Caenorhabditis elegans: one gene and its partner. The protein of the gene in region 1 purifies or fractionates together with the protein of each later gene. This does not show direct contact. Each region holds a gene or a part of one and is shown on either strand. Other genes may lie near its edges.

Region 1 (7,899 bases):
AAGAGGGACTGATATTGATAGCTCTTTCAATAATTTCACACAGGAAGTATAGAAATATACAAATAAGGAAAATGGAAAATATGAAAGTCACTACGGAGAGGTCTTCATGAAAACGTAAGGCGGAGCTACAAGCCATCATTCTTCTTGTTTCTTCTAAACACGACGCGGGAAAGTAAGAAGGAGGGGGTCTACGTACACAAGCCGCTCCCATGGTGGAAAAAATGGGAGGAGACCCGTCTCGAGACTTCTGCAGACGGGACAGAGGAGAAGCGGTGGGAAAGGAGAGAATGGTTTGTTTCCGGAGAGATGAAACTATTTGGAGAAGAAGCATCATGCGGGGAACAGAAGGAGGATATTTGGTGTAAAATCAAATGGTCAAACCTCAAAACTATTAAAGATAGAAATTAAGTTTCAGTTAACGGTTTTGCTTTTTTGTTTCCCATAAAATGGTTGGAAAAATACTAAAAACAAATTAATCGAAATAAATGTATTATTTTCGCTAAATTTAATTAATTCCAGATTTAGGATGCAACACAGTTAAATTTAAACTTACTGCTACTATGATGTTTTAAAATCGATTCCAAAAGTTGTCACTGGTGTCATATCTAACCATTTATTTATTCAATTTTTCATAGTAATTTTCTTTGATATTATCAGCAAAAAACGTGAGTATTAGCCAATAATATTTGAAACAGAAAATGTAAGAAAACATTGAAAAGCCAAAAATTTGGGTCTTTCAATTTCTACTACCTGACACATATCGAAAATTCAGTTTTACGTGTGGTTTCTTTTAAAGATTTCTTGGAAAAAATAGCGTAGGAGGTTCTGAACACCTTTCGATGTTCGTTTCTCTTTTTTGAGTAGGTGTTGAGAAGAAGGAGGAGGAAGGCGACAAACTTTTTATGACATCTACACATGATATCTCTCAAAACGAACAAAAATGACTAAGTGGTCTAAAAATGGAAAAGAGGAGGAAGCAGTGCAAATGCATATATATCAATTGTTTGGTTAGACTGTGCTTACAAGTTTATTTTCTGGGGGAAGAGGACAGTTCTCACAATTCTCACAACACCTGCTGACACATCGTGTACAAGGACATTGGAACACTTCCAAGACTAAGTTTCAAAAGAGTTAAGCTTCAAAATGTTTATATACGACACCAACAATGTTCAATATATTGATGTGGGCTCACAAAAAAAGATGCCAGGGTGCAAATAAGAATTGGTGCACACCATTGAGGAGGTGTCACCAAATGATGGCCCGTCATAGCTGGGTGATTCATAGGTAAGGGTTTCTCTATTTGCATGCCATTTTTTGACACTTGGAAGATGTTTTGAGTCGACAGAGTTTGAAAGGTCATATTAAAAGCAAAGAGGTACATTTAATAATACATTGCTTCAAATTTTTTATATTGAAAAATTTTAAATTGGGAAAAACGCTTTACACTATTTTTAATTACTACAATAAAAAACTTCAAAAATGGCTCAGTAGCTTTCAAAATTTAAAATGAAATATAATTTGACAACAAAAAATTTTAAGAATAGCGGCATACCAAAATAGCACGAAATGTGTGAAAATGCACATTTTGCTGAGCTCTCTCGCAAAAAACCCCTTGGCACGCGAGAATGTAAAGAACACCTCTGGGAGGGACGTATCACTAGAGAAAAAATCTCGAATTATGACATATGTATATCTACAATTCGCTGGTTCGAATTGAATAAGGCCGACCAGACTTGTCGGCACCCTTTTTGCCGCCTTTTTCGTGAAAAGAAGAACAAAGCCTATAAAAGTGCCCGTGAACGGTGAGAGGGAGGGGCGCGAACAGTGCGCGCGGGGATAAGAAGAGGGCAAAAAAAAAAACATATAGAGACACACTTATCCAATGCACAAAAAACGAATAAAGAGGTGGTTGGATGAGATGAAGGAAGACACCGTTAGAAAGGTATGGAAAGGATCCGATAACCATCGGAAGCACTTGGTGCCGATATCAAAGTGAACGGAAATGCCGACAGACAGGTAGGCAAACGAACTGTTTTGTACGTCTTAATGAGAGGTAAAAAGGATTGAAATTCGTGACATTTATTTTAAAACTACTTTGGTTCATAGATCTGACTAACACCATAAAATAACAGCTCAGCTTTGAAGTTGTCCGACTCACATATTCAGTAACTGTGTGGACCATTTGCAGCCACCCAGGACAATTTATTTTTTCGGGACAAAGATACAACGGTATCGGAAATCGAAACGCAACTTGAAATGAAATAAATAATTCGTTCATTACTCAACATTTTATAAGTATTTTATATTTGTAAGCTTAGAAATGGTCCTCACGTTTTTATTTTTCAACATTTTTGTAATTTCAATTTTCCGTTCCGAATTGCGTTTCGATTATACACACCAACCGATCAAACTTCAAACCACACATTGAAACTTTCACGTCACCCACAAAATGAAAGTAAAATAAGTAGTTATCCTAAAACCATAACACGACAGTATAGTCTTTCCTGTCAATTACACGTTAGCCGCTTTTGGTCTCCAAACATCCAAACAATCGGTCCTTTTTTCACAGCTAATTGCCGACAAAAACACAAAGACAGTGTGCCAAAACGCGAAACTCGAGACACTATGCAAAAAAGAAGATCCATTGACACGTGCGTAGGAGAGGGCAAATTGGTAAATATCCCATCAAGGTACAAGTACAAACAAGCTCTTTAGAGCCTTTGAGGACGGAGGGAGAGAGAAAGTATATGCCAACTTTCGCGAGTTGACACAATTAGATCAACTTGGATCAACTAACTGGGAGGGGGGGGGATAGAGATGAGGGTGTTCGAGTTGAAGTACTCGCTTAAATTGCCTGTTTTAATTCGAAATTTCTAAAGGGCAAATTATTGAAGCTTTCACAAAATGCTTTGAAAGAGTCTTGAAATTAAACATTTCAAAATAGAATCTCAGATTTGGTTGCATTTAAAGAATTAGATTTTTTGACCTTAAAACAGAAACAATTGATTGACCGGAATTTCACTATCGGCTTCGTGCCTGTTTTTAAAACTGTAGCAACTGTTTTCGAAATTTATGCGAAATCTAGAACTATTAGGTACGTGCTGGAATTATATTTCTAGAACAACGTTTTTCAAATACCTGTTTAACTGTGACAGTTTTACTACAATAATTCTAGTGAGTACAGAAGGGAAAAAACAACTTGTTCCGTACATTTGATCCCATGTTATAAAATTTTTTATGAAAGCCGTTCATGTCTTGATCGAAAATAAGTTTCAGCGTGTATAAAAAGCTATACTAACAGAGCAGCAAACACCTATATTTGTTCCTGGAAACTATTAACATTAAATATAATACTCTCCAAAATAAAAACCAACCGACTGGCGGATAATACATTTTTGAATAAAAGCTGCACCGGAAATAGTGAGCGCCTATCCTTCACTGACCAGTCTCGTCATTCTCCATAACACTAACGATATATACATGAAATCCGAGAAGGTGGCAAAAATAATGACCACTTTCTTTGGTTTTGGTTTTCTTTGATGACGAAAGAGAGAAGGACCGAAAAAGAAAGGTGTGTATGAAAATGTGGTCCCCTCCTCTGGTCTCCCAAAACCGCGCCTCTCTGACTTCGCATCGTAAATCAGGGTTCCGGAGGAAGACGACACCGTGTGGGGGGTGAAAGCAAAAGACAAGTAAATCAAAATCGCGAAGCCCAAACGACACGTGTCATTTGACATCGGTCATGTCGAAAAGGAGGGTCGCTTTCCGTTTCGGTTCAACCCGTGCAACACCCACTATTCTCACGGAATTGCAATTTTGAAAGCGATTCAATCGAAATGGGAATACTACATGTAAGCCGTGCCGAGAGAGCAGATGCATCCATTCAAAAAAGGTTCAAAAATTGTGTTTCATAAAAGGCGCTTTTTTGGAAGGCGCTGGTTCTTTTGTATGCACAAGTTCCTCCCTCAGTCATCGTTCTTCTTGTTCAATACTGGTTCCTGTTAGTTATCACCGTTTCCGATTTAAATATTTGCAATATTCTATCTTATACAGTTCTCTGTAGACTAAAATCGACTCCTAGAATTATGGTAGCTATGATTTGTTTTTAGTTTTCTCTTGTTAAAAAACCCGCTGACAAATGTCAAAATATTGTTAAATTACCTAGCAATCAATTTTACTTTCTTATTATTTTCCCCGTTACGTTCCCACTTTTAAATCTCTAAGCTTTCTGCCTCCCCTTATTTCCCACATCTGCACTTCATAGCTCAATTTGTCATCGGCTTATGGTAATTTCTGCCGAAGGCCGATGAAAAGAGGCATTGTCAGGTTCTCGGGTCTTGTATGATATGAAATCCTGAGTGACAACACTTGTAATCCTATTTGTAGCGCCTGTCTCCTGTCCTCACTACGTCTGGCGACTCACCTTGTCACGACGATTGATGTGTGCAGTGACCAATCCGCTCCGTGATCCTTGCGTGCCACTGTAATTGGATTAATTTGTATTTTTTGGGGAAAATAAAAACTTGAAAGCGGGAAGAAAGAAGAAACAAATGTAAATACACAAGGTGTTGTGGGAAACATATTTTGTAGCAAAACTAGGAATGATAGCTAGGATAGAATGTGGGGGTGAAAAGTTGACAAATAGTTGACGAAAATGCGTCTGCAAACAATGCCACAAAAACAAAAGAGAGTTTTATCATTTGCAGGAAAATTGAATTTGAGGATAAAATGACGAATTTTAAACGCGTGAGAATTGACAACAAGATCTGAAACAGCCGGTTAATTAATAACCATCCCAAAAGTGATAGTTCAAAAACATGAAAATGAAATAGTCTTGAAAAAAACCAACAAAGCGAAAAGTTCTTAGTAAGTTTTGGTTGAGTTTCACTATATGCATGTACTCAAATATCTGTCGGAAATTTAAAAAATTTAATAGTAATACACTAAGATTTTTATAATTTTGTTCTATTTGTTAGAAAGAAGTCTTACAAAACGAAAACGAAAAAAAACTGATCACAATGACTCTATCGGAACCGAAGTGCAACAGCGAGGAACAAATTGAATTTTTCATGTTTTCGAATAGATCAGTATTTGAAAAATATGTGTAAAAAAATTCAGGACATACTTAAATTTATTGAATCAAAAGTACAATTTTGCCAAAACTGAGGAGAAGCCAAATCCCATGTACAGTATTCATGTCAGTCTGCCCAATTATACCCTTGAAACCGATGTCCTGCTGAGTCTGCCAAACTGGAAGAAAAGGAAAAGTGGCAAATTGTAGATACAGATGACAATAATTTTTTTTTACTCATTTTCCGCTTTTTCCAGGATTGTTGAATGGTCAAGCGGTTTGGTTTACTAGAAGTTTCATGTAGAGAAAATAAGTTGTTTGTGACATAAATTTGGAAAGTAGCAGTATGTTGCCCGCTGGTTCAAAACAGTCCTAATAGCTTGCAATTTGTCATGAGCGTTAGCGAAAGGACGGGACAGTGTAAAAGAGAGCTTTGAAACAATGCCACGATATCGGGACAAGGGCACAACAAGGAGAGACAGAAAGGAATCCGAAAATTGATGGCCAAGTCATGGATGATACTTGTAATTAAGTGAAATTCGCTTTAACGCGGATGACGGGATGACAGAAAAAACAGATTTACAGTTTCAATGAGAACATTCAGTTTTAGTTTGAAACATTATTCATGTTTGTTACGCATAAATGTGAACATTATCTTGTAAATTTAGTCAGTGTTCCATTCACATTTTTTTGTGAGAAGAACAATGAAAGCAAGTATAAAAACTACCAAAATATGGGCGGGGCTTATTATTGATTTTCATTGGCTTGTTGATTTTAATTATTCAAAGTGTTTTGTGTCTTTCAAATTTGTTTGAATATGGGTACTGTTCAGACTATTAAACAATTTATTTTAAGCCCAAAAGAATGATCCGCCATTATATGGTTCAGTAAAAAAAACAGTTTTAATTCTAAAACAACATGTTTTACTAAATGCATATACGGAATGAGCACGTTCTAGATTAATTTTCGGGTTTACCATGAAAATTCTAGCATTTTTCCAGCTTCTGAATCAATATAACCAAGCAAAACAAGAAGAACAAACTGATTAGAAATATATGTACCAATATAAAGAAAAATTTCAGTTTAAATATTGTTTTTATGGCCTACGTCTCCCATCTATTCAATGATTCATACAAATTTCCATTACAGGAAACAACATAGACTCTTGTGAAAAAATTGCAAATCATTTCGATATATTGAGGATCAAATTCTTGTGAATGAATACTATGCACGTAGCTTATTTTCAAGACAAACAAATAAGAAATAGATTATATCTTGAATGTAATTTTTGAACTAAACACAATTAACTTTATGATCATACAAAAAAGCTAGTAATAGCACATTGTAAAACATCAATTTGTGGAAAACTGTGTCACTGTGCCAATAATAGTGTAATATATTGTAATATGTATGTTTTATATACACTGATTGTATGAGAGCCAATAGAAAAGCTGACTTGTCTAATCAATAAGTGTTAGGGTTAGTTCAGTTGCTTATAAGCTCCTAACCTATACAAACATTTTCTGATTAATCTCAAGTTGTTTAAAACATTTGTTTCGCATTTTTCATTGCTGGAAAAAAGCAAGAACTTGAAATCAAAAATCTAGTTTGAAATATGTGGGGTTTTCTGAATAAAGAATAACTTAAACAGGTACTCGGTAAACCGTGGAGATCAAAACCTTATAACTGAGTAAAACTTCAGGTATTATGTTTGTTTTAGGATTACACTGTTTCTCATCAGGCAGAAAACTGAACTTGAATTGCCCTCCTCGCTCATACATTCTCATGCTTATTTCACTTATACTGGCAACCAATTAAAATGAATATACGTTTTCATCTTCATCATACCTCATCTCTCCGATATTACGACACAACCCTATGCATTTCAACACAAGCCTACCGTGTTGGAGGGTGGAAACTTGGAAGAGACAAAAAAAAATGCACGAAGCGTTTCGATTTTCTTTGGCGGTAATCGGTGACCATAATTTGATCTGATCACATCACACTAACATTGCTTGGGGCCTTATGTCATTTTATTATATTCACATACAAGGGGACGTCTTCACTGTTTGATTGAGGCAAAGTTAAGGAAAAGTGTTCGCGGAAAAGGTGTGGCGACTTTTTGAATTCAGAAATGTGTTGGTCAAAACCACAAAAGAAGTGGAAAACGAATAGTGTACAGCTTCTGAGAACGCAAGCAACAGCTGATCATCGTGGCTCACTGTAACAGCGCACTTCAAATAAGGAACATACAAGACTCGCGCGGGCAGCTGGTCTTGTGCGGTAAGATGATGTTGTACATGTGTTTGTACGTATGTGTTCACCCGCAAATAATTAGACCAAAAAGGTTCTTGAGAGCATCTTAGGGAAGTATAGTTAATGCCACTGTCCTGTTCGCGAGTGAGAAAGCCAGATTTAGTGAACCAATAGTGTCAATTAGAAGAAACTTGCATATGGAACATGGGATTTGGTGTTAAGCTTTTGAAAAACAACAGGCTGTCAATATGACATATGGTTCAAACAAGCATCTTCTTATCCCACACTTGAGGAAATGAAAAAACACTGAAGATGTAAGATAATATGATTGGTTACAGTCTTCGGTATTGGTTTTGACAGTTAGACAGAAAAACGTGATAAATATTTAAAAATGGTTACGTCTGTTTATAATGGTAACATTCTATGCAAGTAACACATTGATTACTTTTGTTATTTGAACGTTAAAGTTTGGTTGTTCCCAGTAAAATTTATGAATCGATTTCCGCAATTTTTGGTGGCTATGAAAGGTCTGCAGAAAAAAATGGTCTTGATGAAAATAGTACTTTTTTATC
Region 2 (8,542 bases), on another chromosome or scaffold:
AATACTCGTATTCTTCGACAATTTCTTAATTTTCGTGTAAGATTTTCTTCCATAAAAAAATATGGAAAAGCAAGTGGAATTCTAAAATTTGGAAAAATACAAAAATAACTATGTAGCCTAAAATTAAAAATACCAAGATCATACTGACTCCAAGCATTCCGTAGATACATGTCCAGTTAATAATTTTCTGGTCTTGTCCATCAATCAGGTAAAATGCGGAGCCAAGTAAACTATATCTTCGGGGCTCAAGCCAAGCTCATTTTGTAAGCCGGATCTAAAAATTTCACAATTTACGAAGCCACTGGAAATAGGCATAAAAAGCCTATTTTTCAGACTGGTCTTCATTTTTTTGAAACTGGATACTAGTTTCCAATTGTTCAGTTCGTAGTTTGTTGGCTTCATAAAGTAGTTGGTCCCATAAAAATACGTGTAATTTTTCCAAAACTGCAAACCTGATAAATTCATCAACCTCGTTGCTCCTCCCAAATGTAAAATAACCGATTGATGCCCAAATAAGCCCACCCAACAAAACCATAAACGAATGCGTGAAAACTCTCCACTTTGTAAAATATGTTGAGTTAATGGTTCTAAAAAAATTAACTATTTAAAAGTGATTGAATTGAACAATTGAATTACTGGCTAATTACAGCGTATCTATATTTGAATAAAACCACAAAGATTACCAAAAAGGATCCGAATAACCCACAGTACGTTGCTGAAAAAATGAGTAAAACTGGAATTGCTCAGTAATTTATATCTAAAGGAGACAAAAATTCCTCGCCTATTCTTTCGCTGGTTTATTTTTTTGATTGTTTTATAGAAAAAGCCTGAACAAACTCGATCTACCATATTAAATTTATTTGTAAAAGTACGATTTACGGAGAAAGAACATGTGAAAGAATTGACGCGGAATCAATTATATTTTCAAAATTCTTTAGAACTTTGTTTTTGACTCACATATTAATACCAACATAATTTCTCTAGATAACCATTTGCATCTTATATCGGACAGAACTATGACTACAGTGTAAAATGAATGAACAATTGGGGAGGTAACAAATTCAATAACTGAATAAAATATTTCAAAGATTGAAGCTCCAATGAGCAAGTATTTGTATTCATTCATGCTTTTCGGAGATCTTAATACGACGAGAATGATCAGCAGCAAGTTCATAAATATCGATGAAATTGTGGAAATTTTGTGAAAAGTGGTTTGAATTAACCGGCATTCAATGCCATTCATTTTTGAGTAAACGAAATAATATCTGTTAGAACCAAAATTTTGTGTTGTAGACAATTAGATGATCTCATGGGATATGTATGTCATTATTGTTATTACATTCACATTAACCAACTGTTTTTGTGATATTAGGCAAACAGAAGTACAGGGTGCGCCAAAAGTATCATAACGCGACGACTTCCAAAAAAAAAAATGATAAAAACCGAGTTTTCACATCTTTTTTTTTGACTAGAAATAAAAAATTGCAAAAATCATTTAAAGAAGTTTTGTTATTACATTTGGCAATTTTAGCGCCACAGGAATGAATTTTAATCTCTCCCTCACTTGCCGTACTTTACATTTCGAATGGAGCATTGGAAAAAATACATCTTCTAATGAGGTGTAGGCGTCCGTTGCCTTCTGGCTATTCAAATTTCAGAAAATCGACAAAGGTCAGTAATTACCACCGGGAACTGTAAGATTTCTGAATATTTTTGAGTACATAATGTTTCATAACCACATGTATCTAGACATAGACTATTCTGCAATTAATCATTGAAACTTTAGGTAAAATGTGATAACACGAGCATCGTATACATATTTACAATGATAACAGCAGCTCTGATTAGACCTAGGTCTGCGCTCAGTTCAAATTGTTTCTATGTTGAGTTGCACTATTTGTTACTACTAATTCTAGAAAAATAAAGAATTTATTGAAAACTTGAAACTTTAAATGTGTAAATTCATTATGTTGCTTTTTTCCAAGCCTTCTTTTTTCATGACTCACATCTTAATATGGTTGTGTGAAGTGGCTTGGAAAAAAGCAACATTACTCAAATAAAATGTTTTTCAAAAATCGAGCTGTCCTTCCTTGTCTGAATGAAAAAAAACGGTTCACGCCACATACAAAAACACACTGGCCAGCTTTTATTATGTGGCTGCAGAGAAAGTCAAATTCACACAACCATATTAAGATGTGAGTCATGAAAAAAGAAAACATCTTCATATTGAACAATATCCTGGAAACTTTAAAAAGAACATTGTGTTGAAAATTTTCAGTTTCAGTCAAAGGTCTTCATGTTTAAGTTTCGAACGTTTGCTTGATTTAATCAAGTTTTCTAGCAAAGAGTAGTTCCTGCTTTTATCTGAAAATACCAGATTTATTTAGAACTAAAACAATGAAAAATCAATTCCAAATTTGCAGTGCAAAATACGTTGCTCCCATCAAAGCTTTATGGCGTCGTAAAAGCTTAAAATATACAAATGAACTCACCCTGATAACACTCAAGACACACCTTTCTGTTTCTGATGTATTTATTTTTACACACGTTCAAGCTAGTATCTGTTTTTTATTTTTTAAATTGTGTTCTTAATTTTGTTCTTAAAAGTTTGAAATGATGCCTGAAAAATTAGAAAATTATTATAGTTAATTTGAGGTGCAAACATGAGGTTTATGAGCAAAATCTATTGCATGTTGCCTTAAATTTATTTTTACCGAAAAATATAATCGGCTCAGGAAGACTCTTTGAAAATTGGTTCCCATGGATTAAAGCTCACTTTTATGAGTCGAGTTTTAAATTAATTTAATTATCGTCAATGTTTTAAAAATACTATAATTACTACAAAAGTTTGACTCTAAAAAGGTATTTTGCAGAAATATATTCTAGAAGAACTAACTAATTAATTTCTGAAGGATTTTCACAAAATTCAGACTACAAGTATTAAAAAAAAACAGAATTTAATGAAATATATATTTTGAACACTTCCTCAATCTTATACCTTCCCCGTTTTTTCTCCTTAGCAACTCCGAGCAAACCAGAGACATCACGAACGTTTCTTTATTTGCAAACTTTAACAATTCTTTGAAAATTGAAAAAAAACACACCTTTCACAGTTTTCTATATTAAAATAAAATGATCAAAACAAACAATTGGAATACTTTTGTACTCGATCATGTATAATCATCATCATGTATATTCATGTATATATTCATGTGCATATTTATATTCATGTATATTTATCAGATTTTACAAGAGTACCTCAAATTTTATGATTTATAAATGTTTGAATATTTGTGGCTACACACCCATATGATTGTCATTTCAGAAAGTTCTGAATCAAACTACATCAGTCATGGAAACTTTTGACGCAATCTCCAATAGTAGTCATATTTTCTGCATTTCTGTATTTTATTAAAAACTGATTCATTTTATTTTGACCACACCCTTTTTCTTATTAATTTTTTTCCAGAAAAGTTTTTGAGGTTTACTTAAAAAATGGTAGCTTCTATTTTACAAAAAAAAAGTCTAATCATTAATCAAAATTATATTTATACGCGTCAGTTTAATTCCAAATAAAATTTTGTAAATAAAACATTTTCAGACAAACATTTTGTTGCGACTTTGAGTTAGTCGAAAAAATTTCATTAATTCAAGAACAAAAGTGTAATCTCCATACTTTTTCGAATTTTTCTCTTCAAAAATGAGATTTCGCGTTTCAAACGTATTAACTCTCTGAAAATCTTGGAAAAAATCATACCCTTACATTACCACGCTCTCCAGAGGTCGAAAAAAAGGACACGCGGAGGTCATATGTGAGCAAAGGTAATTCAAATGCCAAAGTTTTCTGAGGCCATGTGGAATTTGATTTTTTTTCAAATTGATAATTTTTTGAAAATTTGTTCCCTTGTGGAAGTTTATTTTTTCTTCGTTTTTTTATAGCTTTTATCGTTAATTCTCTTTTAAAATTGAACTTTGTAAACTTTTGAAACATTTTTTCTGCAGCGAAAATATTTGTTTCACAGTGAAGATATTTTACTCTCAGTCCAGATCAAATAAAATAATTCTGGCATGTGCCAATATTTTCGTCGTAGGAAGGATGTAATTTTCATTTTTTCTCAAAAGTTCCATTTTTTAAACCTCAAAGTACCGCATAATTTAATTTGAAATCTTTCAGATGCAGAGGATATATCAATTCATACTAATAATCATTTTATTATTATTATTAGTCTTTGACATATTTACCAACAAGCCAGAATTATTTCCAAGTTCTCGAATTTCACCATGCTACACGGAATCGTCACCAACGAGCGGAAAACTGGAATCAAATGCTGAAAAATCAGAAAAATTAATAAATGTGCCATCAACACTGGATTTGTCAAACAAATCATATTTTATTGATGGATTCGATCGGTTTGACTGGTATCAATTTCAATTGTTTAGAAAAACAAATGACAGACCGGTAAGTTTTTTTTAAAATTTCGTGAAGATTCAGTTGTTTTTAAGATGGTTTTTTTAATCTTCTTAAAAACATCTGATTAAAAAAGGGTTACCAAAGCTCTACAATTTTAGCCAGCCCTTTCATATGCATAATATTTTTTTAATAATTTGTGTGAAACCTCAAAATTTTCACGTATTCCAGAAAACAGCCAGCAACATCAGCACGCTGTATGCATATGAATTTGAGCACGAAATTACTGTTACAACAACTTCTTGGAAACGTATGGGGTGAGATTTCAATTTTAGATCATATCTCACTATCAGATAATTCCAGACATCGCGTCTACTGTCGTTACCTTGATGATAACAATATCGAAATTGGAATCCCATTTGAAAGTCTCACGTATCCAGAGTATATTGTCAGCTGTAAAAAGAGAGACGGCACTAAGAAAATTGGGTTAAGTGTCGAAAAGAATGGAGACTTTTTTCCATTACCAATTATTGATAGAATGCTGAAAAGTGAGTTTTATCTACAATTTTTAACGATTTGAAAAAAAAAAAAAAAACTTTGTAAACTTTAGAACCAAAATACGAACTCTCCATGTGTGTTGCATCCATTTACGGCGATGAACCAAAATGGTTGATGTTTATCGAAATGATAGAGCATTTCAAGTTACAAGGTGTCCAACACTTTTACCTTCATATCCATCATGCTTCCGAATATGATATGAGAGTGATTAATGATTATGTGAGAACGGGAGAAGTTGAAGTACACTATCTTATCGAAAGGGATATGCGGGCTGATAACCATTGGCATATGGTTAATCTTGCGGTGAGTTTTTTTTTTCTGAAATGATAGAAGTTAGAAATAGTTGTGTCACATGCATAAGTATTGTGCCAAGTAATTTGTGATAGTAGATCTTGCATGCACACAGGAAGAAGATTCAAGAAAAAATATACCGATTACTTTCAATTTTTGATACTGTCCAATGTTTCAGGACTGCTTAATATGGTCCCGCGGAGAGACAAAATGGACCATCTTCGCTGATCTAGACGAACGAATCTACATGACAAACTATACGGGAACAATTTTGGATTACGTCCAGGTCGTCAAAAATGAAAGTATTGCGAGTATTCAATTCAGACAGCAATGGATAATGAAAACTGAACTGATGCCACCAAAATATGAAGGTGATCGACAGTTGGACAAATGGATGCCAACTCATCGATGGCATAGTTCGAGTGGAATTGGTCCACCGGGACATACTGCAAAATGTATTGTTGATACATCGAAAGTGTTCATCATGTTTATTCATTACGTAACACAATTTTTCCCTGCGACGAATGGTTCGAATTATGTGCAAATTCGTGTTGATCCGGAAGAAGGACTTGTTAGGTAAAGCACAATTGTAACTATTAACTTGTCCAAAAGTCTATTTTTTCAGACATTACCGTGATCTGTCTCTTGGAGATTGGGGACGAAAATGGCTGAATTCAACTCTGAAATTTGGTGCTCTACGAGACACTGACTATCCAAGTGCATTTCTTGGAAAACTGACGGAAAACGTGAAACGGAGAGCAAAATACGTTTATGACAATTACTATGATTGATGATTATGGATAATTTATTGTGCTAGATAAATAATTTTTTAGTATAGTTCCAATTGATCTCAAAACGTGTTTATTTTTTCACTTGTCGTGTTTTAATATCAAAGTTTACTGGTCTTCGTTAGCATTTCACTGATTGTGAAAACAGTTAATTTAAAATTATGTTTAATAAAAAATGATTCGAATAAATTTTACTATTTCAATTGAAAATTTCGAATTTTTGCGCAGAATATGCACGATAACATGGTATCTTTTAAAAAATGTTAAATTTTTATGTTCTTAACCAATTAATTGTAAAAAATTTTAAAGAATATTATTCAGCTTTCAATATTAAAAAATGTTGGGTTCCCTAACAATGACGCACACTGCAGTAGCTACAGTACTGTAGTTGTAAATTGAGATATAAAATCTTACTGTTAGATTTTAACATGCAATTTATAACTACTAGATCATAAAAATTTTTTGATGATGGCAGATTTGTCGTTGTTTCATGTGTTATGTATCTTGTTACTTGTGGGTTCCAATTTCCGGTGATACACTTTTTTGTAAAAGTTTGAACGAAATGTGCAAGACAAAGTGCAATTTGAAAAAATTTCATAGTTTTGAGTTCAATAAATAAATTCACTATCAAAAATTCAAAAAAGAAATAACGGAAATGTGACGGATAAAACCCGCGTAAAGCAAAATGGAAAGTGTCTGGAAATTTCAAAATAAAAAGAAAATTTGTTAACATAAAACAATTTTACAAAAAAATTAGGGTGATATCGCCACAGAGTGTGGACCAATTGGAAAAGGTGCTGGAATGAAAAATTGAAGGCAGAACTTGCCACGGCTTAGACTGATTTTTCGGGAACGAAAGTCGTCGGTCACCTTGAAATCAAGTCCCGGGCACAGGATAAAAGTGAGGAGTGAAGTTTCAGACTGTGATGGTTCTAGAAGAAGTCCGAAATCCAAGTCCATTTTGTTAGGCGTTGAAGCAGTCGAGAGTGCTCTCTGAAAACAGGAAAAATAATGAAAGGAATAATTAAAGACTATATTTAAGGAGTTTTTTCCCATAGCGATAAATTTCCCTACAAGAATTAATTCTGAAACACTAAAGTAAGCAACCTTTCAAACAAATTACGAAAACTTTTTCGGTGCGGAGGTTGACATTTTTGTGGCTACGTGTCAAGTTTAAAAAGTTAAAATCCTGGAAAAAAATAGCCATAAAGCTCCAAATTGGGGGCCAAACTTTCTCATTTTGTGTCCAAATAGAAATACTTCTCCCATTTCATATTACAATCTTAAACTTACAGTCATTAAATGCCTAATTCCATCCACTGTTATTCGACTTGCACACCCATTTCTGAACTGGATTGTGTTTGGCGCTGTTGTCCGTGTAGCCCAGTGAATTAGTGTTTGATCAGTAACTTCGTTGAGAAAACAAGGATATCTTGGTTGAATTTGAATTGTTTCCAAGTGAGTTAGAGACATCAGCACCTGAAAATTGTACAAATGATGGTGGGTTCATCATCACTCCAACTTCTTCAATCTAATATTGTTTAAAAATGTATCCATGAATATTTTTGGTTTTCGAACTATTGAGGTCTGCATGAGGTATGCAGGTAGGCAATTGAGATAACGTGATTGAAGGTTTATTAAATTCTTATGGACTAATTGAATATTATTATTACTTCTAAATATTTAATGAACAAAAATAATTAGTTAACAAATTAACTCTGAGTGTTCTTTCAAACGCGAGTGTTCCCAATTTCTAGGAAACTTTGTCAAAATCTGATCTTTTTTTTTGCAAAAAAATCCTTACCTTGTCAGAGATCAATGACGGATGAAATGTGCAGAAATCAATGTATAGATGCTTGATGGTCATTCGAGACAGCAAGTCCATGAATTGTGTCCATGAGAGTCGGATATGACACAGTGACAGCGCCAGCGTGGTGACATGTCTGTAACGATCAAGTTGGCTTGTTGACACGTGTCAAAAAGTCAAAAAAGTCAAAAATGTATATATAATATTTCAGTTTCTTTTTCCTCCCACTTCTCCTCTAGGCACACACTTTTCTTGTTTGACATTTTCGACATTTTGATGTGTGTCTGTGGGGTTGTCCAATAGAAATGAAGGGAGGCAGAGAAACGAAATAATGACAGTTTGGCTACCTTCTGACGGTTTACAGTAATACATTTGGGACAGTTTGGCATTTTTGAAGAGTCATCGGGTGATTTAGAAACTTTTTTTTGCAAGATATTATTACAAAAAGAGCTACATAATATATCCAACGACATAAGAAAAAATTGCAGCATAGTTGGAGCAAAAAAATGTGCCGTTAAAAATTATTTTACAAAACTACTGTACTTATTCGCAAGATGATCAGTGAAATTGGTCAGATATTGAACTATTCAATTTGAAGTTGTTTGCTCGTTTTTACTTAATGGTGAGCCGTTTATGGAATTTCTGAATTTTCAACTAGCCAAAAAAACCAGAAACTCGTGTGGAACGATG

What was found.
Region 2: the proteins of B0198.3 (region 1) and gtnt-40 fractionate together in Caenorhabditis elegans (co-fractionation; one large-scale study listed by BioGRID). This does not show direct contact.

The regions. Positions count from the first base shown.
Region 1 is NC_003284.9:12,052,592-12,060,490, forward strand, and holds the start of B0198.3 (Protein kinase domain-containing protein), read right to left. Parts: upstream 4,483-7,899; 5' UTR 4,424-4,482; intron 1-4,423.
Region 2 is NC_003283.11:7,749,450-7,757,991, reverse strand, and holds gtnt-40 (Glycosyltransferase family 92 protein), read left to right. Parts: upstream 1-3,334; 5' UTR 3,335-3,822; intron 3,823-4,174; coding exon 4,175-4,459; intron 4,460-4,639; coding exon 4,640-4,725; intron 4,726-4,771; coding exon 4,772-4,956; intron 4,957-5,018; coding exon 5,019-5,269; intron 5,270-5,435; coding exon 5,436-5,833; intron 5,834-5,882; coding exon 5,883-6,048; 3' UTR 6,049-6,225; downstream 6,226-8,542. Other genes in the region: fbxl-5 (F-box domain-containing protein), read right to left, coding at 6,799-7,038, 7,339-7,524, 7,850-7,988.